2 linked regions of the Diceros bicornis minor genome follow. The main gene of each other region encodes a partner of the protein of the gene in region 2 in a complex. Links are inferred from orthologs where the notes say so. Each region holds a gene or a part of one and is shown on either strand. Other genes may lie near its edges.

Region 1 (11,434 bases), on a different chromosome or scaffold from region 2:
AAGACTCCCTTCTTGAACCAGGTCATACATGTCTGAGAAGTATTTTGCTGGCTGCCTGGACTGAATGTGTAGAATAGCACTACCTAGGCTATTACAGATGACCTTGTATGGTAATGCGACTGGAATTCGAAGAGAGGATCATTGGGACAACGGAAGCAGTTTTAGGAGATCTTTGAGTGGTTTGCCTATAAACCCCACACTTACCAATTCTGTACTCCAATACACCTAAATGCTTCCTACAATCTATGGATATTATAAGGTAATAAACAGACTTATGCAGATACCGTATTATTAACCATCTTCTCTTTGACATCAAATATAGACATGAGGGAAACTGAAGGATTTTTCCAATTACCATCCTGTTATTTCTTAGGCCTGGAGCCTTTTTGGAAAATTTGTATCTTTGGGAAGACAGTTATCCTTTTGAAAAATTGTGAAGACTACACTTTCGAGTTCATCTTGAAGGGAAAAATTAGTTTTGCAAGGATACTATCCATCTGCAAAATAAAATGTAAGTGGTCCTGGTGCAAAACAACCCTCCATAGGGGAACTGACTATCAAATGTAAGCTGATTAAGTGCTTCTCAAACTTAAAACTGCACTGTGACAAGACCGTTTGTATGCACAATTCTGATTTAGATTTGGGAAATAAATTTTTCATTCCTAACAAGCTCCAGATGATGCTGTGGCTGCTAGTCTGGGGATGACACGGAAGAGCAAGATGACAGAGGGCCATTAGAGCCCAGGCAGACTCAGAGGCTTGATAACAAGCAGCAAGCTAGCAGAGAGGTTGCCCAATGAGAAAAGAAAACTTACACCTCAGTTCCTCTTACAAACCGGCACTCTTTGTCCTTAAGGCTAAACTGAAAGCCTACCACCAAGATTTTAATGAGTCTCCCAGAGTTTTGCTCTTTAAAATGCAGCCCAGCCATCATTTTTTTCAAATTAAAACACAGATTTAATACAATCTCAACCATCATTCCAAATGCATTATTTTAGAAATAAGCTCAATTATTCAGAGTGAAGATTACATTGAAGAGAATTGAAAGAAACAAAAGGGAAAAAAAAATTGATAGCTCACACTGTGTGTGTGTATCTTCTGCGTCAAAAAATAACATTAACAGACCAACCAGGAAAATGTTTCTATTAATTATGACAAAATAATAAGAAAAATATAAAAATTAGCCTATAAGTCTTTTCCAAAAGATAACAGAACAGTGTGCTTAGAACTTCTAGGATCTAGACCCCTGACCCCTTTGCTTTCTTAAGTGAATATCTCTCTCCTCTCTACCAGTTTATTTTTATCAACATACTTTCTAGTCCTTCAGATTAAAACAACGAAAATAACAAGAACCAGAGTCCGTTAACCATACCCTTCTTCAGCCACCAACCTATTTCTCTATTCCTTTGCTCATTATCACAACAAAACTTCTCCAAATTGTCTCCACTTCCTTGCACACACATAACAAGAACCAGAGTCCGTTAACCATACCCTTCTTCAGCCACCAACCTATTTCTCTATTCCTTTGCTCATTATCACAACAAAACTTCTCCAAATTGTCTCCACTTCCTTGCCTCGCTTTCAAAGCAGTCCAAACTGGCATCTATCCGCCCTCTCCATTAAAACAGCTCTCATAAAAATCAATGACCTCCAGTGTGTCTTCGCCTTATTCCACCTCTCATCGCCACTTGACACAGCCCACTCACCTTCATGAAACATTCTCTCCCTTAGCTTCCCTCCTACTTAACTGGCTGTTTTCTTCTTAACTGCCTTTGCTGGTGTCTCCTCTACCCAAACTCTAAATCTGCACTACTCCTAAGAGAGCCCACTAGTCACATGTCACTACTGAGTACTTGAAATGTGGCCAGTCTGTGCAATGTGCTGTAAAAGTAAAATACACATTGGATTTTGAAGCTTTAGTATGAAAAAAGGCGGTACAAGTCTGAAGTGTTAATACGGACTTTGAAGACTTAGAACATGTTGAAACATTTTGGATATATGAATTAAATAAAACATATTAATTTCACCTGATTCATTTTACTTTTTAATGGGGCTACTAGAAAATTTAAGACTATGTATGTGGCTCACATTATATTTCTATTGGGCAGTGCTGCTCTAAATGCCAGATGTATCTTGGGGTTTGGTCTTGCTCCTTCCTCAGCCTTGCTATCACAGTAAACAGTACCATCATCCATACAATGGCTCATATTAGAGGCACAGAAACTGTGGGAGATCACGATTTGGCCACCCTGAAATATGTCTCTTTACCTTGATTGTTTTCTCTGACCGATATTTGACCTCCCCCACTAACTGCCTAAAGAATTTAACACAGAAGACCTGCTCCAGGAAGGAGTTACTATCTGATGGCTGTAATACAATGTAAAATAGATGTTACAATAGGAAAGGCACCAACAAGCCCATCTTATCAAAAATTCTGTCTCTCCCAGCCCACATTCTCTAGGTGGCCCTGCAAAGAGTTGCCAGACAAACATTTACATTTATAAGGGAAATCCCCATTTGTAAAGGTATCTCCCACTCTGTACTGGGAAGTGTGGGGATAGCCTTGTCTCTGTAGAAACTCTTATCAGTACGGAAGGAAACAACTTAAATCTACATACTTTTGATTCCTGTGATTTCTGTCTCTCCAGACACATTCTCTATAGATGGCCCTGCAAAGAATCATCTGACATTTACATTTCCCTCTCCATGTAAATTGTCTTCTTCCCCTCTGAAATCGCAACCCCCCCTACCCCCAACATCCTCCTTTGTCTTTAGCTGAAGATAGTATTTAAGATGAGAATCACTGCTGGTTTGTTGAGAAACTCAGTTTCCCTGGTTTCTCCCATGTATACATGTTATTAAACTTGCTATTATTTTCTCCTGCTACCCTGTCTTTTAATTATTTGGCCAGCCATAAGAACCTTAAGGGAAAGGGCACAGGGAGATTCTCCCTCTTTCCCGACAAAATGTAGACAGCAGTATTTTCAGACAATGGGAATGTCCACAGGGCAGGATTCCCAGATGAGACAGAACTGTTTGGTGGAGCAAACAAACAAGCAGAGACTGAGCAAGACTGGTCCAGTAGTTCAGGTTTTCAGACTGAGTGATAACTAAGCCCTACATTAGCTTGCTTTGAGGAACTCAACTCGGCCCATTAAAGTTTCTAGTTTTGCCTCTGGAATGTGTGCCTAGTTTAAGAAACCTTCAACTGGCTCTCCTGTTTTTCTTTCTCTTTTTAAAAGACCATAGTCTGTGATGGTGAAGACTCAGGCAGACCCTAAAATTCTAGTCAACCCCTGATGGTTTGAGAACACAAGCACTGTTCCTCTAAAGAGGATTAATTAACAAATATGCTGCCTCTGACCAAAACTTGTTGGAAATAATGCCAGTTACATCAATTCAACAGAGGCACTGAGATCTGGCACCAGGAAGAAACACAGCAACAAAACCTGTCCCACTTGTTATTAAGAAAAATGAAGTTGAGAAAATGGAAAGACTTGGTTCATTCAGATCTTAAAACACAAATGGATTTTAGAAGATGTACACATGTAAATCCAGATTTACTATGTAGATTTAAAACTCCTTAAGTAGCAAAACTACTAACCATTCTATAAGAACTCCTTTCAGGACGTTGACCATCTTCCCAGGCAGAAGGTGCAGACGACCTTAAAAATGCCAACAAAAGGGATAAGGTGACATAAAATTCAAAAGCATCAACTTTAATACACTCTGGTGACCTCTGAAACAAGGAGAAATATTAAATGTCAAGACTAAACATTTAAATTTATGAAAGACACAGGGCTAAGATTAAGAAAACATACAGATATTGTAATCTTTTAACAAAATTAAAATGAGTCTATTTGGAATACTAATAAGCATAAATCTTACTTGCAAACAAATTCTACCCACTGTCAATCCTACCGTGTGCCCAACCTAGGTTTAAAACATGTCCGTTAGTCAAAACATTTCTTTTCCCATCCAAAAGTACGATAAAAGAGAAGATCCTGGAGGCAGGAATCACAGAACGGTAGCTCTGACAGGGGCCTTAAAAATTATATAGTGAGCCGGACCATCTGGTTTTACAGATGAGATCGAGCCAAGAGATTAAGCTGTAGCTCCCGGGAAACAAAACACAGGAGGGTGCAAGCCCAGTCTCCAGATCTTGTGTCCTTTCACCAAATAATCACGTTCCCCGTGACTTGCGCTTGAAGGAAGGGAACCCACCCAGCGCACGCCAGAGTGACCCCTAAACTTCTACACCTGGGCGCGGGCAACGCCTCCCCGTAGGAAACGCACAGCTCAATGGTGCGGGACGGCCGCCCGCCTCGTCAGGAAGGGCCAGGAGAGGGTACAAGACACCACCACGAACCCCACAACCTGGAGGACATGCTTCTGAGTCATTTCTCGCTCTCCACTCTTTCTTCGAGACCCCTCCGCCTTCCAGATACCCCACTTTACCCTCTTACTCCGAGAGCCGACGCCACGCACCTACGCCCAAACACCCAGCAGCGTCTCGGCGTCGCCGACAAAGTGCGCCTGCGTCCTCTACGTCATCGCGTCTGCGTCTCTCTTGTGGGTGGAGCGCGCCGACGGGAGGCGGGGCGCGGGCTGGGCCGAGGGGGCGGGGCGAGGTGGGGGCGGGGTCACGTACCGCCAGCCACCAGGTGGAGGGCGCGGGGTGGGAGCCGCCGAGAGCGGTGGGCTCGCCACCTACGGGATCCGCGGTGAGCGGCGGGGGCGCGCCGAGTCCGCGTGCCGGCAGGTAGGAAGGGGAGGCCGGGCTCGTGGGGGCGGGTGAGGGCGCCGGCGAAGCCGGGCACGGGGGGTAGTGGGGAGGGCGGCGACGGGGCGCGGCCGGGGCGCCCCCGCGAGGACGCGGGGCCCCCGACTGACCCGCTGACCCGCCGCCGGGCGTGAGGGCCGCTCGCTCAGCGTCAGCAGCCGGACTCTTCTTTTCCGGTCACGGCCGTTCTCTAGTTCCTCTCCGAGGCCCAAAGAGCACCTGCCGGTACCGTCAGCCCGGGCGGGGTAGTCACGGAGAGATGAGGACCAGGAGGTGGAAACAGTCTCCCCATTCACATCGGAACCTTCCAGACCGCAGCTGCTAGCTCTGCCCTGGGGGATTGAATAGATTGAATACTGATAGGTCTCTAAGCCCGGTAACGGTTATTCTAAAGTGAAAGACCCCAGGGGGTTCCAAAATTAATCCCTTCCCCAGATTCTGACCTGTAGTCTCATAGAGCTCTCTCTTTCTTTAATTGTTTTTACCAGTGGAGATGTGAGGTTCTTGCTTTCTGTGCCTTGGGTAAATTGTGCTTTCCCAATTGAGCTTACGCTCCTTTTTATTTCTTGTGTTCATGTAATTTACGAACCTAGTTTTTCCATTTATTTCCCTCTTTATCCCTCAAATCGTTTTCCTCCCGTTGGTTTCCATATTGTTGAGCACGCTCTCTCTCTCTCTCTTTGATCTGCCCCAAGTATAGTTCCTGCCAAGTATCTTTTCTTTTTTTTCCTTCTTGAATGTATCCTCCTCCTTGACCATCTCAGCAGTTCCATTGCGTTGAACCTCCCACTTTTGTGCTCCAGGTGCAGGCCTCATGCTTGCACCTTAATAACCTGTGAGTACTCTCAAGTCCACCTCTCAAATTGAAGTAGTTCTCATTTCATCCTCACTTCAAAACCTTCTTTCTTCCTGTGTTTTTCTGAATCACCCAGATTTGAAACCTCCATCCAATTATTCAACAAACATTTTTGTGGGCCTAATATGTGCCAGACACTGTGCTAGACTCTGGAGACACAGTGGTGAACAAGCAACTAATTATGGTGGAAAAGAGAGACACTAAAATGAGTTAACAGGAAGGTATCAGATGGTAATGTGATAAAGAGACTGGAAGGGCTGCTTTGGTTATGGAGGTGTCAGAAATGGCCTTCAGTTCATGCAGATTTCTGAATGAAAAAAAGTGACTTCTGTACACCAGCAGTAACCAGCTAGGAATTTTAATATAAAGATACTATTCATAACTGTATTCAAAACTAAAGGTATCGAGGAATAGATCAAACTAAAACTGTATAGTCTTTTAGGGAGAAAATTATAGTGCTCTATTGAAACAAAAAAGAAGACCCAAGAAATGGAGAGATATACCATATTCATGGATGGGAAGACTCAATATCATAAAGATGTCAGTTTTCCCCAATTTTACAGATTCAGGGCAATTCCAATTGAAATTGGTATATGTTTTTTCATGGAACTTGACATGCTGAGCCAAAAATATATATGGAAAGATAAAGGACCAAGAATAGCTAAGTCAATTTTGAAGAAAAATTTTAAATAAAGTCCCTTCCTCCCAGATAGCAAAACTTAATATAAAGCCATAATAATGAAGACTACTGTCTTAATTACTAGTATTGGTTCAGGGATAGAAAAATAGACTCATGGAACAGAGTAGAGAGCCTAGAACCACACCCATGTACATATGGGAGTTTAGTATACCACTAAGTGGTACTACAAAGCAGGAGGAAAAGCATAGACTGTTCAGTAAATGGTGCTGAGATACGTGATATCCATATAGAATAAAGACAAAATTAGATTCCTGCTTCACACCATTCACAACAGTAATTTCCAAATGGATTAAAGACCTAAGTGTGGAAGACACATCTGTAAAATATTTAGAAAAAAATATAGGAGGCTATATTTAGGAAAGATTTCTTTTGTTTTATTGGAGTTAAATATACATCACATAAAATTTACTACCATTTTAACCACTTTTAGGTATGTAGTTCAGTGGTATTCATGTTATTGTGCAGCCATCACTACTGTCTAACTCCAGAACTTTTTTTCTTTCTGGGAGGGATTTGTTAAGGTACGAAAAGCACCACTGAGGATGCTATTGCCTTACTCCAAATGAGAGATGATGGTGACTTGAGCTAGAGTGGTAATACCGAAAACGGAGAAAAATGGATGGATTTGTGATATGTTTTGATGGCAGAGAACAGGAATTGTGCATGGTTTAGATATGAGGTGAGGAGAAAACAAAGAATCCAGAGCAACATCCAAGTTTTGCTTGAGCTGTGTGGTAGGTTATTTACATTTATCATCAAAGGGTATTTACCGTTTGTTTGGTAGTGATGGGGAGGATGAGTGGAGGAAGAGTTTGGGGAGACAAAGAATTCTGTATTGTCAGTTGAGTTTGAAAGGCCTGTTGGGCATCCAAGTGGAAATATTCCAGTAGCTGTTGGATAGATGAGTCTGGAAAGATTGTGGCTGGAGGTACAACTTTGGAATCTCTGGCATATAGATATTTAAAACCGTGATTTGTTAGAATTAGATTTGGCTGCATTTCTGCACACAGAAAATATAAGGTAATAATGGCTTAAGTATGCATATGATTCCATAGGTAGGCAGGCCATGGCTGGTATGGCAGCAGCTCCATGATCATCAAGGACTTGGATTCTTCTGTCTTGCTATTCTGCCATCCTTAGCGTGCTGCCTCATCTCAATCTGATAGTTGAGGTGGACACTTTAATTCCAACTGCCACCTGCTCCTGGGAAGAGAGAAGAGGGAAGGTTGAAGAAAGACACATACTATTCTCTTTAAGGACACTTCTCAGAAGTTGCACATGACACATCCACTTATGACCCATTAGCCAGTTCTTAGTGACCACACTTAGCTAGAAAGAAAAATAGACAATGTAGTGCTTATTCAGTTATTTGTGTGCCCAGTTACATTTCAGGAGTTTTATTAATAAAAACGAAGGGGAGAATGGGCGTTTAGTTTCAGTCTGGTTTCTTCTCCAACCAGGGCAACGACTCTACCATTATGAAGGCTCCGGTTGTTAAATGTAATGGAATTGTTGAATATTTGTTTCACTTGGTATTCATAATCTCTCCTTTTTTACTTTCTGTGTCCTTCTTCTTAGTCTCTTAGAATTTCTCCTCTGTTTTCTACTTAAAATTAGTGTTTCAGATTTAATGTAGTCACAGTCATAATCCAAAGGCTTTGTAAAAATAGAAATCGACAGGCTGACTTTAAAATTATGTGGAAGTGAGGAGGCTGGCCCAGTGGCGTAACAGTTAAATTTGCCGGTTCGGATCCTGGGCGCGGACCTACGCACTGCTCATCAAGCCATGCTGAGGTGGTGTCCTACATAGAGCAACTAGAAGGATGTACAACTATGACATACAACTATCTACTGGGGCTTTGGGGAAAGAAAAAGGAGGAGGATTGGCAATAGATGTTAGCTCAGAGGCGGTCTTCGTCAGCAAAAAGAGGAGGATTAGCACGGATGTTAGCTCAGGACTGATCTTTCTCACAAAAAAAAAGAAAAAGAATGCTCACAGTGGTCTATGGTAGGCAGAATACTGGCCCCCCAAAGATGTCCATGCCCAAATTCCTGGATTCTGTGAATATGTTACATGACATGGCAAAAGGGACTTTGCAGATGGAATTAAGGTTACATATCTTAAGATAGGGAGATTATTTTAGATTATCCGGGAGAGCCAAATGTATCACATGGATCCTTAAAAGTGGAAGAGGAAAGCAGAAGAGTCAGAGATTTGGCAGTGTGAGAAGGATAAGCTGTTGCTGGGCCTGAGATCTAGGGGACTACCTGTAAAGACCAGAGAGAGGCCTCTGAGAGCTAAGGGTGGCACCCAGACAACAAGTGGCAAGGAAACAGGACCTTAGCCCTACAGTTGCATGGAAGTGAATTCTGCCACTGACCTGAATGAGCCTGAAAGTGGAATCGCCCCCAGAGCTTTCAATAAGGGATGCAGCCCTGCTAACACTTTGGTTTCAGCCTTGTGAGACTTTGAGCAGGGAAATTCAATCTAAAATAGTGCCTAGGGATCTGTATTTTAATAATCTGCAGACAATCCTAGGATGATATTTTGAGAAACACCGTTTTATAAACCATTTTTCAATAACTTCATCCAAAACTATGGTTTCAATTACTAGTACGTGCTAATGACTCATAAATCTATATCTATAGCTTAGACCTCTTTGCTGAGCCCACATAGCTTAATGGACATCTTACAGAATATTTTACAAGAACCTTAATCTCAGCATGTTGAAACTGGGAATTCATCCTTTTCCTCAAATCCATTTCTTTTCCTTTATTTTCCTATTTGGTAAGTATTGTCCCTATATACTCAGTAAAACCAGAAACTGGGAATCATAATTGTCTCCTCCCTCTTAGCCATTCTCCTTATCTCTTATCCAATTGTTTATTAGATTCTATTCTCTTAATACCTCCTTAAGTCTGTTTCTTCTTGATCATTCTCAGAGCCACTTCCTTAATTCAAATACAACTTTCTCTCTGATTATCCTTAAAAGCCTCCCTATTCGTTTTCCCCATGTCTACCTCTAAAAAAATTTTTTTATCGTGTTACTCCATTTCTTAAGGTTAATCTCCCAACAGCTTCCCTTAACTCAGGGTAAGCTTTAGACTGCTTAACTTAGCTAAAAATGATGTTCATGATCTCACTAGCCCCTGCCTTCAACACTCCTCTGTTAGTAATCAACAGCATGAGTCATATTAAAATCAGTGAGGAAGAGAAGACCTGAAAAACACTATCAGACAATGAACAGACATTTGTAGAACTCTCTACCCAACAGCAACAGAATATACATTTTTTTCAAGTGCATCAGGAACATTCACCAAGATAGAGCATAATCCTTGTCATAAAACAAGCCAAGATTTAAAAGAATTGAAAATATACAAAGCCTATTCTCCAGCCACAATGGAATTAAGCTAAAAATCAATAACAAAGATATCTGGAAATTCCTAAATATTTGGAAATTAAGTAACACACTTCTAAATATCCCATTAGGAAGAAGGACCTGGCCACCCACTTCCAAAAAAATTGGCCGTGAAAACCCCATGAATAGCAGCGGAGCATTGTCTGTAGCACTGGAAGATGAGAGGGTGGCACAAAAAAAAGATCAGGCAGGTTCTGCTCTGCTGTACATGGGTTCGCTAGGAGTCATAATCGACTTGACGGCGCTATCAACAACACAGACATCCCACGGATCAAAGAGGAAGCCTCATAGTGAAATTAGAAAATATTTTTAACTGAATGAAAGAAAAAACACTCAGCATATCAAAATTTGAGGGATGCAGCGAAAGCAGTGCTTAGAGGGAAATTTTTAGCATTAAATACTTATATTAGAAAGGAAGAAATCTTAGATCAGTAATCTTAACTTCAATTTTAAGAAGCTTGAGAAAGAATAGCTAGTTGAAATGAAAGCAATAAAGACTAATAAAAGAGCACAAACCGATGAAATTGATAATAGAAAAACAAGAGAGTAATTCAATTAAACTAAAAGCTGGTTCTTTGAAAATATCAATGAAATTGATAAGCCTCTAGCCAGAACAGCTAGGAAAAAGAGAAGACGCAAATTGCCAAAATCTGGAATGAAAAAGAGGACATCACTTTAGACCCAAGACCTTAAAAAGATAATATGGGAGCACTACTTAAAACCTTTTAAGGGAGAAGAATGCCAGTTCTACATAAACTCTTCCAGAATATAGAAGAAGATGGAACACTTAGCAAATTATTTTATAAGACCAGTGTTAACTTGATGTGAAAATCAAAGTAATCACAAGAAAACTATAGATTAATATCTCTCGTGAATAGACAATAAAAACCTCTCTGGGGGCCAGCCCCATGGCCCAGTGGTTCAAGTTCTGCATGCTCCACTTTGGTGGCCCACGTTCCAGGTTTGGATCCCAGGCGTGGACCTACACCACTTGTCAAGCCATGTTGTGGCGGCGACCCACGTATAAAATAGAGGAAAATGGGAACAGATGTTAGCTTGGGACAAATCTTCCTCAAGCAAAAAAATAAAAAGAGGAGGAAGATTGGCCATGGATATTAGCTCAGAGCTAATCTTCCTCAAAAAACAAAAAACACAAAACCTCTCTGAGGTACCTCTATATGAGGTAGATCATGCACACAAAAATTAGTAAGGCTATAGAAACTTAATAACACAATTAACAAGCTTGATATAATAGATATACTAAATTCTACCCATAACAGAATAAGTTTATATGATACATTTATAAATATTGACTGCAACCAGGTAACAAAGCAAGTCTCCACAATTCCAAAGAATCTGTGTTGTATAGCACAATGAAAAGATAATCTTTAGAAATTTCATGTTTGGAAACTAAAAACAATCCTAAACAATCCCTGGATTAGAGGAAATTGCAGTGGAGATATCAGGACTCGTGAAATTGAGGTAAAGCAAAATTTAGAGGGAAATTTATAGTCTTAAATGTGTTTATGAAGGAGCAAGAAATGCTCATAATATATTAGGTAAGCATTATTGAAGAAGTTAGGAAAAGGACTGAGTGAATCCGAAGAAAGAAAGAAGAAAATAATGAAGAGCAGAAATAGAAAACAAAACACAATAAAATAGAGATGATCAGCAAA
Region 2 (11,808 bases):
TAAAGACAAAGGGAGACTGTCATGTAAAGATGGAGGCAGAGATTGGAGTGAGGCAACTGCAAGCCAAGGATTGCTGGCCACCACCACAAGCTGGGAAGAGGCAAGGAAGGATTCTACCCAGAGTGTCAGAGCATGGCCCTGCTGACACCTTGATTTCAGATCTCTAGCTTCCAGAACTGTGAGACAAAAACTTTCTGTTGGTTTAAGTCACCAAGTTTGTGGTACTTCGTTACAATAGCCCTAGAAAACTAACATACTTTCCTTGCTATCCGTATGAAGAGATATTCTAGACTCATTTTGTATGAGGTTGGGCAATCGCTGGCAATGTCATTTGTTTTAAACTAATATTTTTCTTGGCCAAATCCTGGACTCAGCAATATCCCCAAAGAACCCTGATTCCTTTTAGTGGAAAATGGTATTTCAAGATTATAATCTGGGAGCTAGAGATGCTCATGGATACTGGGTTGGTCACTATGGTTAGGCTTTTTCACAGCTGTGTATATTTTATAAGCTAAAACATATTGAGTTTTTGTTGTTTTAAGAAAAAAGACATTTCCTGCTCTTGACCTGGAATCAGAATAAGACATTTCTCCAAGGAACATTGGCCTTGAAGTACCATAATTTAGGTACTACGTGTACTCATTGCTACTGGGTTGGTTATTGTTTCTAGGCCTTTTCAGAGCTGGGGGAAAAAAATTTAAAGCAAAATGCATCATGATACTTCTAATTGAAATTCAGGATTATAGAACTTTTACTTATCGTCTTCTACCTGATATCTTTATTTCCTTTCTCCTATGTTGTGATCATGCTTCTTAAGAACGATTGAGATGATATGCAGTCACACATCGGTTAACGACAGGGCTACATTCTCAACAATGCGTCATTAGGCAATTTGGTCATTGTGTGAACATCGTAGAGTTTACTTACATGAACCTAGATGGTATAGCCTACTACACACCTAGGCTATATGGTATAGCCTATTGCTACGAGGCTACAAACCTGTATAGTATGTTACTGTACTGAATAATGTAGGCAATTGTAACACAATGGTAAGTATTTGTGTATCTAAACATAGAAAAGGACAGTAAAAATACAGTATAAAAGACAAAAAATGTTACACCTGTATAGGGCACTTACGGTGAAAGGAGGTTGTAGGACTTGAAGTTGCTCTGGGTGAGTCAGTGAGTGAGTGGTGAGCGAGTGTGAAGGCCTAGGACATTACTACATACTACCGTAGCCTTTATAAACACTGTACACTTAGGCCAAACTAAATTTATATAAAGAATTTTTCTTTCTTCAATAATAAATTAACCTTAGTTTATTATAACTTTTTTACTTTATAAACTTTTTCATTTTTCAAAACTTTTTGACTTTTATAACATTTAGCTTAAAACACATTGTACAACTGTAGAAAAATATTTTATGTCCTTATTCTATGAGCTTTTCTCTATTTTTAAAATTTTTAATTTTCTTTAACTTTTTAAACCTTTTTGTTAAAAAGTAAGACACAAACACACACATTAGCCTAGGCCTACACGGGGTCAGGATCATCAATATCACTGTCATCCACCTCCACATCTTGTCCCACTGGAAGGTCTTCAGGGGCAATAACATGCATGGAGCTGTCATCTCCTGTGGTGACAATGCCTTCCTCTTGAATGCTTCTTAAAGGACCAGCCTGAGGCTCTTCTCAAGGAGGTGCTACTCTTTTCAGAAATATGTCCATGGTGGTTTGCTTGGTTTCTTTCTTTTTTCATCATAGATTTGCTTATAAGCAGATAATGCACCATGAACATTCCTATTAATGAAAAACTTTGGTGTTGGGGTCCATGTTTTCAAACTTTTTAAGGAGCTTCTTGAGGTTTGCAAAAGCTGCTAAACCCTTCACTGTGAATTTTCTTCTGGGTTCTTCTTTTTCTTATCTTGCAGTTTCCTTTTTCTTGTCTCTTTCTTCAGCTGTGTCTTCCTGTTCTACTTCCAACAACTCATTAGCCAATTCCTCAGGAACCACCTCTGGGAGCTCCTCAACATCATCCCCATCCACACCCAGGTTGAAGTTGTTTGCTATCTCAACCATAGCCTGTTGATTTTTGCAATTTCTCATCCTTGTCAAATCCTTTGAAGTCATAAACGAACCTCCTAAGTGTCTTCTTCCGGACGCCATTCATACACTCCTTGCTGACATCACCCCAAGCCTTAGCAAAGTTCTTGATGCAGTCATAGATGTTGTAATCTTTCTAGAATTGCATCAGTGTCTTCTTCAGTTGCAGCAATAGCCTGAGCAAGGGTCCTCCTAAGGTAGCAGGCCTTACAACTGCTATAACTCCTTGATCTGTTGATTGGATCAAAGAGGTGGTGTTTGGAGGGAGAAACAACACTTTGATATTGGAATGAAGATCACCAATAAAAGAAGGATGTCTGGAAACATTAGAAACAATAAGCAAAACCTCTAAAAGTATGTTATTCTCCAAATAGTACTTCTCCATTTCATATTAAAAACCCCAAATGCATATAAAATATTACCATCACTATAAATATTAACATTAAAAATTTTTTTTTGATATTTCCTTTTGTTCTTAGAGAATATCCCACTACAAATATATAATCAAATTACTGTGTTTTACAGGCACTTGAAAAAGTTCCTCTCTGTGTGTTATGGAATATACTGATAGGTAGATATGCTTCATTTTATTTTCAGTTTTGGGATTTCTTTTCAACAGTTAATTTTGTCTTTGGGTGGTGAACATGATGTCATCTATACAGAAAGTGAAATGTAATGATGTACACCTGAAATTTATATGTTATAAACAAATGTTACCGCAATAAAAAAGGGTTAATCTTGTTTTTAATTTAACAAAATTAAACTTTTAAATTTACTTAAATTTTATTAATTTATCTTCTATTTATTATTTATTTGTTATTTATTTAAATTATTTTTAGATTTGAATCTAAAAATCTAAGCTATAAATCTAAAAAGTAAAACTATGTTTAAATAAGTCTAGCTTCTATTCCCGTCTTCTTCACACTGTTTTCTCATTGTCCTTAAAAATAACCCTTTTGAAAAAAAAAATTGTTTTATTTTTCCTTTTTTTTTAATGGAAGCAAGTGTTTACACATTTTTATAGTTCCCATTTTCTTAAACAGTAGCATACAAAGAAAACTTTTCTCTACTTTGCTTTTGTCACGTAACACTACATTTTGAAGATCCTTCCATAGTGGTATATAGAGATAGTCCTCATTCCTTGTTACAGCTGCATTGTATTCCATGTACATAAGCACCATAATTTATCTAACCAATCTCCTTATACGCACATGTGGGGGTATTTCCATTCTTTTAGTGTTACAAGAAGTCCCATAATGAATAGTCCTGAGCATACATCTTTTCATATTTTTGCCACTACAGTCATGTGCCGCATAAGGTCGGTTTGATGAAAAATGGGCCGCATATATATGGTGGTCCCATAAGGTTAGTCCCATATAGCCTAGGTGTGTAGTAGGCTATGTCATCTAGGTGTGTGTAAGCACACCCTATGCTGTTTGCACAACAAAATTGCCCAACTAGGCATTTCTCAGAATGTATCCTCATTGTTAAGCAACACATGAGTGTTCTAGGCACAGAGTCCTAGAACTGGTATTGCTGGGTCAATGGCAAATTCATATGTAATTTTGCTAGATATAATCAGGCACATGTGTAACTAAGCAACTTGATGAACTGCAACCGATAAATCAGCATTCAGCTAAGGTGTCTGTATCTCATGATAGCATATAATTACTGTATTTACATACAAAAAGTGGTATACTCATCACTTGAGGTATCAAAATTTGGCCAAAGTTCTTATGGATAAACTAATCATCAATGATTAACAGCATTATTAAAATCTAATGGTAGTGTTCTACAAAGTGAGTTAAAAAGACCTTTCCCCCATTTTGATGTTGTTGATGTAGCTGTTATACACTTACCATAAATAATAAAAACATCCACCAAATACTTATTAAAGCATTTTCTAGTAGCTTTGATCTTCCCAACAATCATATGCAGTGGTTTTTATTCCATCTTATCAACACAGAGAGATTTAGTTACTGCAGAAGGTCACACAGTAAAGTAATGGCAGAGTCAAGCCTGATTCCACAAAGACTGCACTCTGTACACACTAAGTTAATTTGTTTTTGCTAACAAACTCGCTTTTATTTTGGTATACAGAAAATAATTGCAAGTTAGTTGCTGTTTTAAGACATGCAGTAGCAATTTCAAACTATAAGTTAGAAGAGAGGAAGAGAACATTAAAGATTTTTAAAAATCTCCTCCTCATATATATAGAGGTAATTTGTGTGATCAGCAATTTCTTCCTACATATTGCATCAAAAATTACTGCGTGTGGAAATCAACAGTTTTTTTGTAAAGGCCTAAAAATTAACTGAAATCTGAATAGAGCATAATTTTTTTGGTAGGACTGAAATACATCAGTGCTTTTATTATCTTGAATGAATGCTGTAATTATGCACCACTTTACAATAGAAACCTTCATTAGGATTAGTAAGCTTGAGATATAAGATCTTTCCTCTTTACTTTTGTATCCTCCTAAAGTGTCCAATACTATTGAGCATATAAGGGCTGCAAGATCCTTAAATATGCCAGATAATTTGCCTGATTTATTCATTTTACTATTTAAGAACATGGAGGCTGAAGGGAAGTCATATGAGAGTTTAGTTTAAGCTAATTTCCAGAGCAGTCAGTCTTTTTAGATTTTCTTTTTTCTTGGCATTGTTGCTTAAATAGTCATTTGGACAATAAAACATTTAAATGTTTGGACATATAAGGTTTGATGTCATTTTGTTTATGGTAATATTAAAATTTATCCATTGAATTTTTCCTTTTCTTCTTTTGCTTGGCAATTATCCAGTGTTTTGGCAGAATATTAATATTAAAAGAAAGAAGTAACTCTTATTCTCCAATATAAAACATTTTGAAGTAAAAAAAAAAAGATTCATCACAAAGAGAACACTATTATGTATCTGTCTAAGTATACGGCTGTTACAAAGTATGAGTTCACAAACTAAAATTCCAGTATAAACGTTTCCTATATGGTATAAAGAGCCGCTAAAATTAGAAAAGTTCTTTAAGCTTTAGGGCACAAAGAAGAAAAAGTTCAGATAAAAACAATTTAAATATGTTGCTAAATTCAGTCTTACATGGGAGGAGTTTTCTGTTCACAAATTTTCACTTTTGTGAACCAAAGAGCTGTAGCCTCCAAACTATTCAGACCCACTCTTCTGGTGCAAGATCAGAGAATATCTCTTTCTGAAACTAAACTGGTTGGCACACGTATATTGTGATTGACAGCATATTATAGCTAACTGAAGGTTGGAAAACAATAAATTGGAATGGAATCCATGATACTTAGATGCCAGGCATACGGGGGGGGGGGGGGGGGGGGATCTGGGTAAATATTAACCAAGTGTTTAGGCATTGTTGCAATTTAGTGTGTAAAGAGAGAAGTGGACTCAGAGGAGCCTCCTGGGAGTCCGAAGGTCTTAAGGAGCCAGGACTGGGTTTTCTGCCTTTTTAATGCAGTAACTATATCCTATTGTTTCAAAGGTCAGACCCAATCAGGGCATATCTGTCATCAACCCCCTTAGGAATAATTGTGTGGAGAACAAATCTCATAGATTCTTTGCCATGTCCTGTCTGCAGTAGTCTTAATTTTAACGGATAGCAAAACATTTGATCATTTAGTTAAGAATACCCAGTGGTAAGGAAGAAAATAAGGTGGAAGGTGAGGGATTCCACGTGCACACAGTACATACAGGAGGTAACAAGAAGTCTTCTTAAAATAACAAGCAGTGAAATTTACCAGGAATGGTATTGTTTAGTAAAATTTTTCAGGCTCATAGTCACCTGAATATTAAATGAATTACAAATGTGGATGGAATCATAATGTTATATATCAAGAACACTATGATTTCCTGCGAATTTTTTTTTTCTTAAGTGCCCCCAAACAGGCAGCTGTGCAGGGAACTAAGAAGCGAGTGTTAAGAGGATGTTGTTCGATCAGATGGTGTTAAAAGAAATCTCAAGATTAACAGATATTTTCTATACCCATTCACAAACTATCCACAACTTCCCATTTTCTGAGTATTAACGGCCTGCTTTCATTAATCTCTTCCTTCAAGTCCTGGCGGATTGCACCTTTTCCTCTCTCTGGTAGGACGCCTTTGATATTCTTCACATCTGGTTTCAGTGGCATAGAACTTTTGACGTTTTGTTTTGCTTTGCCTTTTAGGATAAACTCCCTCACTTGTCCAGACCACCCATTCCATGTCTCTTGAAATTCCTAGGGACAAGAAAATTAGGTACTGTGACTTCTGCCTTCTAAACAGAGCATTCTCTGTTCTGCGTGAAATGTTGATATAAAGGCGGGATTTGGTGGAGCAGAGCAGGTCAAACGCCTATAGAATTGCACTCCAAGACCTGGACAGTTTCTGCCCGCTCTCTGGCAGCGAGGAGCCGTGTGAGTTGGTTGGCCAAGGTCAAGTATTTCAGATGTTAGTCACTACATGCTGGCTATGTGGAGACACAGAATTTTGGCAGTAGGTTAAAAAAACAGGGAAGGTTATCATGCTGTCATAACCCTGTGGTCGGTGTTTCGTTTTGCTTTTTTTGGCATTTCCACTACTATCAGAAATCATTTAAGTACGTGGGCTGGTAGGGGCCGAACCTTTGGGGAACTTAAATCCAAAGACTTTGTAGCTGTACTTGAGACAAACAACTCAGCCGGTTTTAGGGGTTATTAATTCTGGAATGTGTTAACAGTAGGCCCAAATCAGCATTCATCCCCTTTAGGAACACGTACACAACTTTGCAAGCGAAAGGCCAACCCTCGGCGGAAGGCGCGAACGCCTCAAAGCTCTCAGTCTAAGCCGAGATCACGCTCTGACGTGACTCCGCGTTTAAAACTCTGCCCTGAGTCCAAGCGCGCCAGGGGCCGGAAGCTGGTCCACGTGACTGGTCCTCCTCCGCGGCCATTCCTAACGAGGCAGCCCCCACCGCCCCTTCCACATTTCCTAGCTCCTCCAGCGTGGGACGGCGCAACAACGCCTGAGAGGAGGCGGTCCCAGCAAGCTTTGGACTCGAGTATCACCAAAACTCACGCCTTTCCCGGCAGTGGTTTGCAAGCTCCTCACCCCAAACGAGCCGCCGAACTTCCGCCTGCGTGCCAACCACGTGATCACGCGAGACTTGGGGAGGCAGCGGTCCGACTTCAGTACACCAGACCCCGGGCTCCGCCTGCCCAGCACCCTCCACGGCGCGTGACGACGCGACTCGCGGCGGCCACCGCCCCGGCGCGCCTGCGCACGCGGCTCTCGCGGTGTCTCGCGCTGAGCCCCGCCCACCTGTGCCCCCGCCCTTTCCGCCCCTCCCTCCCCCTCCGCCCTGTCTCTCGGCGGCAGCGGCGGCGGCGGTGGCTCGCGCAGCTCGTTGGCTCGCTATATAAAGGGGAGAAGCGGGCGGACCGGACGGCTGGAGCTGCAGCCGGTGGCGGCAGCGGCGGCGCGGGGAGCGGCGACCGGTGGTGGTTCCCTCCTGGGCGCGGGGTGGGGAGCGGGCAACGCCCCCCGGACCCCCCAAAGGGTCGTGGTTTTTTTTTTTTAAGGGCGATTCTCGAGGTTTTTAGCTCCGGGAGGACTGCCCCCCTCCTCCACCTCCCCCTCTCCTCTCACCGCTCCCCTCTACTCCTTCAGGATCCGATTTTGTTGAAAAATTTTTCCCCCCCATCTTGCGGTGGCTTGGGTCACCCTCTGGGTGTTTCGGTTTTTTCTTTTTCTTTTTTTTGGTTTTGTTTTTCTCTTGTTTTCTCGGGGTTGCTCCCCTCTTGTTTGTGTTGTGTGTGGAAATGGCGAACTCGGCAAATACAAACACCGTGGTAAGGACGTGGTGCGGTGGCCGGCGGGGGCTTCGTCCAGGCGGCAGCAACGGCCGGACCGGGCGGGGGCGGGGACGGCGGCGACTCCCGGCCTCGACTCTCCTCAGCCGCCCGCGCGGCCACCGCCGCCGCCGCTTCCCGCCTCGGGCGGAGCGGGCCGGGGCGCCGGGCGGCGGGCGCGGGGGGGCGCCGAGGGCTCGCGGCGGCGGCGGCGGCGGCGGCGGGAGGGCGGGGGTGCCGGCGGGGCCTGGGGCCGCGGAGGCGGTTGGGCCGGGGCGAGTGCGCGGCCCCGGCCCCAGACCCCGGCCGCCGGGGGGGAGGGCGGGAGGGGAGCCGCCGCTGCCCCCGAAGTGGGCCCGGCCGCGCCGGCTCGAGAAGGGCTCCCCGAGCCGCCTCCAAACAAAAACCGGGTCTGGGGAATTGGGCGAATCCCCAAGACCCACCGCGATCCACTTTCCTGCAGTGGAACGTTGATGGCTACTTCGGGGGGGAACTTGGGGTGTTTCTGGCTGTTGTGCTTAGGGAGCCTTCGCTGGGGCCATTTTATGTTTTTTTTTTTTTTAAAAAAGGACGAAGGTTGAAAAGCACTTATCTCGGTTCCTTCCGAATCGGTAAAATGGCGAAGGGGAAGCAAAACCCCCATCGTATCTTCGACTAGCAAAAGCACCAAAACAAACAAAAAAAAGCCTACAGTGGTCAAAGTGCCCCCGCTTTCGCCTTGCAATTTGCCTACTTCTCCCCGTTCGTCCCTTTTTGGTTACTTGCGATCACGTAGGTTTGCAAAAAGCAGTCACATAAAGAACCTTTTCAGTCACCAACGCAATGTGATCACTCGTCCACCCCACTCTCTTATTTTTATTGTGACAATAAAACACGTTTTTGCCCGGTCCCAAATGCCGCAGACCTGCCCGCGGCCGCCCGACTCCGTACCGTTGGCGACTCGGGTCGATCCATCATGGCTGCGGCCGCTTACCCGGCTTTTCAGTCCCTGAGCCTTGTGGTCCTCCTCCCTTTGGCTGCCCTGTTTATATAGAGCCATTGCCGCTCTCTAATATAGACTCTGCCAGGATGGGAAGGTGCTTTTCAGGCCTACGTCACCGCCTCTCCATTTAAACACCAGATCCGGCTTTAAATAGTGAGAGCTGCTGAGAGCGGGGCTGGGAGGTGCGTGCTCCCGACGCGAGAGGCAGGCGCGTGCAGAGCTCGATTTATTTCTAGGTCCTTTCCTTAGCCTGTCATGTTCGCACCCAACGGGGGCTGCTTTCAGAGCCCCAAGTTTTTGTTGTGGTGCAGCCGCTGGGATTTGCCGTCTTTGTTAGGGGAAAAGAGAATTGCTTTCCTTTTTAGTTTTATTTTTGTTTTTAGAGATAATTTTAGGTCAGATGTCTAATCGTTCTTGTATTACAAGATGCCTACATTATTGTCGGGAATGGAAAAAAAGTGCTTTCTACGTTAACTGTTAGCTGCAAAGGACTTGACTTTGGTAGTATTGTGTTCATCAAGTATTCAGGAAATGTGTTAGAATCTAGCTCCTAATATTTCATTATGTTTTCTTATAATAAATAGCGGAGACACGAAGCTGTTCAAAGAAGTAGATAAGTGCCTGAAGCTTCAACGTAGCACCTATATCCACAGTACATTTCTGTGTAGGGGAATTGTGAGTAATGAAAGTGAGGAGGCTTTAACTGCAAACTGGATTTTAAAAAATTAAAATTCTGAGCAGACAAGGTTTTTATTGAATTGGATATTAGTGTGATATCCAATAGAGAAATTAATCCAGTTTGTTTTCCAGTATTGCATGGGGGACTAACACTTTTGAAAGGAACCTTCTAATGAATCATTAGATAATGCTACTAATGGCCCTTGAAATTACCAGTTTTTAGGTTTGAAATATGTGTTTTTTGAAAACCATGACAAACCTCTTAAATGACTTTTTATTTCGTAAAAGGTAAAAACTTTGGCTCAAGGCAAGTTTAGCATTTTAAATAATAATTTGGAAATTGCGTATTTCAAATAGTGCCTGTGTACCCACATACTTCTAAAAACATCAGGATTTTAAGGGCTTTTCAACTTATGAACAATTCTCTTAAATTATTCTTTTTTTTTTTTTTTTTTTTTTTTGTGAGGCGATCAGCCCTGAGCTAACATCCGCCAATCCTCCTCTTTTTTTGCTGAGGAAGACGGCCCTGGGCTAACATCGGTGCCTATCTTCCTCCACTTTATATGGGACGCCGCCACAGCATGGCTTACCAAGCAGTGCGTCGGTGCGCGCCCGGGATCCGAACCAGCGAACCCCGGGCCGCCGCAGCGGAGCGCGCGCACTTAACCGCTTGCGCCACCGGGCCAGCCCCTTAAATTATTCTTTATGTGTATACTTCATGAAGAATACACATTTCCCTTCTTTCAACTGTAGTGCTTATGAATCCATGAAGTGCTCAAGTTTTGGGTTAATTAAGGCACAAAAGCAAAATCTTATTAAAGCAAGGTTGATACATTAAATAGGGAGTGCCAGAAGGAAAGCACATTTGTTACCTATAAATGTCTAGACCTCCAAGCAGAAGATTTTTAGGGGTGACTAATTTCAGAAACCCAAAGCAACATCTAGTTTGCTGAAAAAATAATTTATATCATCAATTTAAGTTTTATACTACCAATTAAAAGTTACACTGCCTCTTTTTAATGTCATTATTGGTTTTAAACAAAGCACTTTATAAATGTGTTTTGTAATTCAGTAGTTAAATTGCCATAGATAAGGTGATACCCATAGGCAGACTTTCCTCTTATATAGAATCAGAATATTAAAATAGAGACACTGTAGAGATGCACGTTTTACACACGAATAATTTTAAAGTTCACAGAAGCTGATTTGGCAAACTAAAAAAGCAAGTTAGTGAGTGGAGCAGCAGAGGTGAGAACCTAGATACATGAATTGTTTTTCTGGTTGTAATGAAAAAGAGCAAATAGTTTTTAATGGTTGAGGTACATTTTATGGAAGAATTCATTATTTGTATTTTTAACTAGGCAAGGACACATTTTCTTAGAGGGTTCCCTTGTGATAACAGTTTTGCTGATAGAGATGCTAATGAAACATTTATTTCTGTTTGAGGTTTGCCTATGAGAGCAAACCCTTAGTTTTATTGGATAACCAGTAACTTTTACCTTAAACAAGATAGAACACAAATAGTGACAAAGCTTATTAAAAGAAAAAGGCTGTTAACCTTAACTCTGTGATAATGGATAGGATTTATAGTGAGGCAACTCTAGTTTTATTATTCTAACATGTAAACTTCCGTTTGTCTGATGTGTTAAAAATAGGATGTGGGGTTGGGCAAATTGTTCTCTATCCCACCTTTTGCTTTTTAAAAAATACTTTATACTTTTGAAAGTGCTTTCACATGTATTTTCATTTTATCCTTCTGGCAACCTTCTAGAAGCAAGCTTCCCCTCACCCCCAAGTAATACCAACAATAATAGTAATAATAATAATAATTTAAAAAATAAACATTGAGGGGCTGGCCCGGTGGTGCAAACGGTTAAGTGCGCGCGCTCTGCTGCGGCGGCCCGGGGTTCGCTGGTTCGGATCCTGGGCGCACACTGACGCCCCGCTTGGCGAGCCGTGCTGTGGTGGCGTCCCATATAAAGTGGAGGAAGATGGGCATGGATGTTAGCCCAGGGCCAGTCTTCCTCAGCAAAAAAAAGAGGATTGGCAGATGTTAGCTCAGGGCTGATCTTCCTCACACACACACACAAAAAACATCGAGGCTGCTCAAGATTCTATTCCATAGCATCATTTGGGCAGTGGTAGAAGGAGAGAAATCCTGAGAGAGACATCAGTATGCCTTGTTCCTCTGGGACTTGAGGATCTGTTATTGTGAATATATGAACA

What was found.
Region 1: GTF2A1 (region 2) and GTF2H5 share a complex: the UniProt entries of both Homo sapiens proteins name them as parts of the TBP-based Pol II pre-initiation complex. The link is inferred for Diceros bicornis minor from reciprocal best matches to the Homo sapiens genes GTF2A1 and GTF2H5.

The regions. Positions count from the first base shown.
Region 1 is NC_080778.1:11,402,107-11,413,540, forward strand, and holds the start of GTF2H5 (general transcription factor IIH subunit 5), read right to left. Parts: upstream 4,486-11,434; 5' UTR 3,640-4,485; coding exon 3,605-3,639; intron 2,670-3,604; coding exon 2,619-2,669; intron 1-2,618. UniProt on the Homo sapiens protein: Component of the general transcription and DNA repair factor IIH (TFIIH) core complex, which is involved in general and transcription-coupled nucleotide excision repair (NER) of damaged DNA and, when complexed to CAK, in RNA transcription by RNA polymerase II.
Region 2 is NC_080763.1:28,583,672-28,595,479, reverse strand, and holds the start of GTF2A1 (transcription initiation factor IIA subunit 1), read left to right. Parts: upstream 1-7,472; 5' UTR 7,473-7,892; coding exon 7,893-7,922; intron 7,923-11,808. UniProt on the Homo sapiens protein: TFIIA is a component of the transcription machinery of RNA polymerase II and plays an important role in transcriptional activation. TFIIA in a complex with TBP mediates transcriptional activity.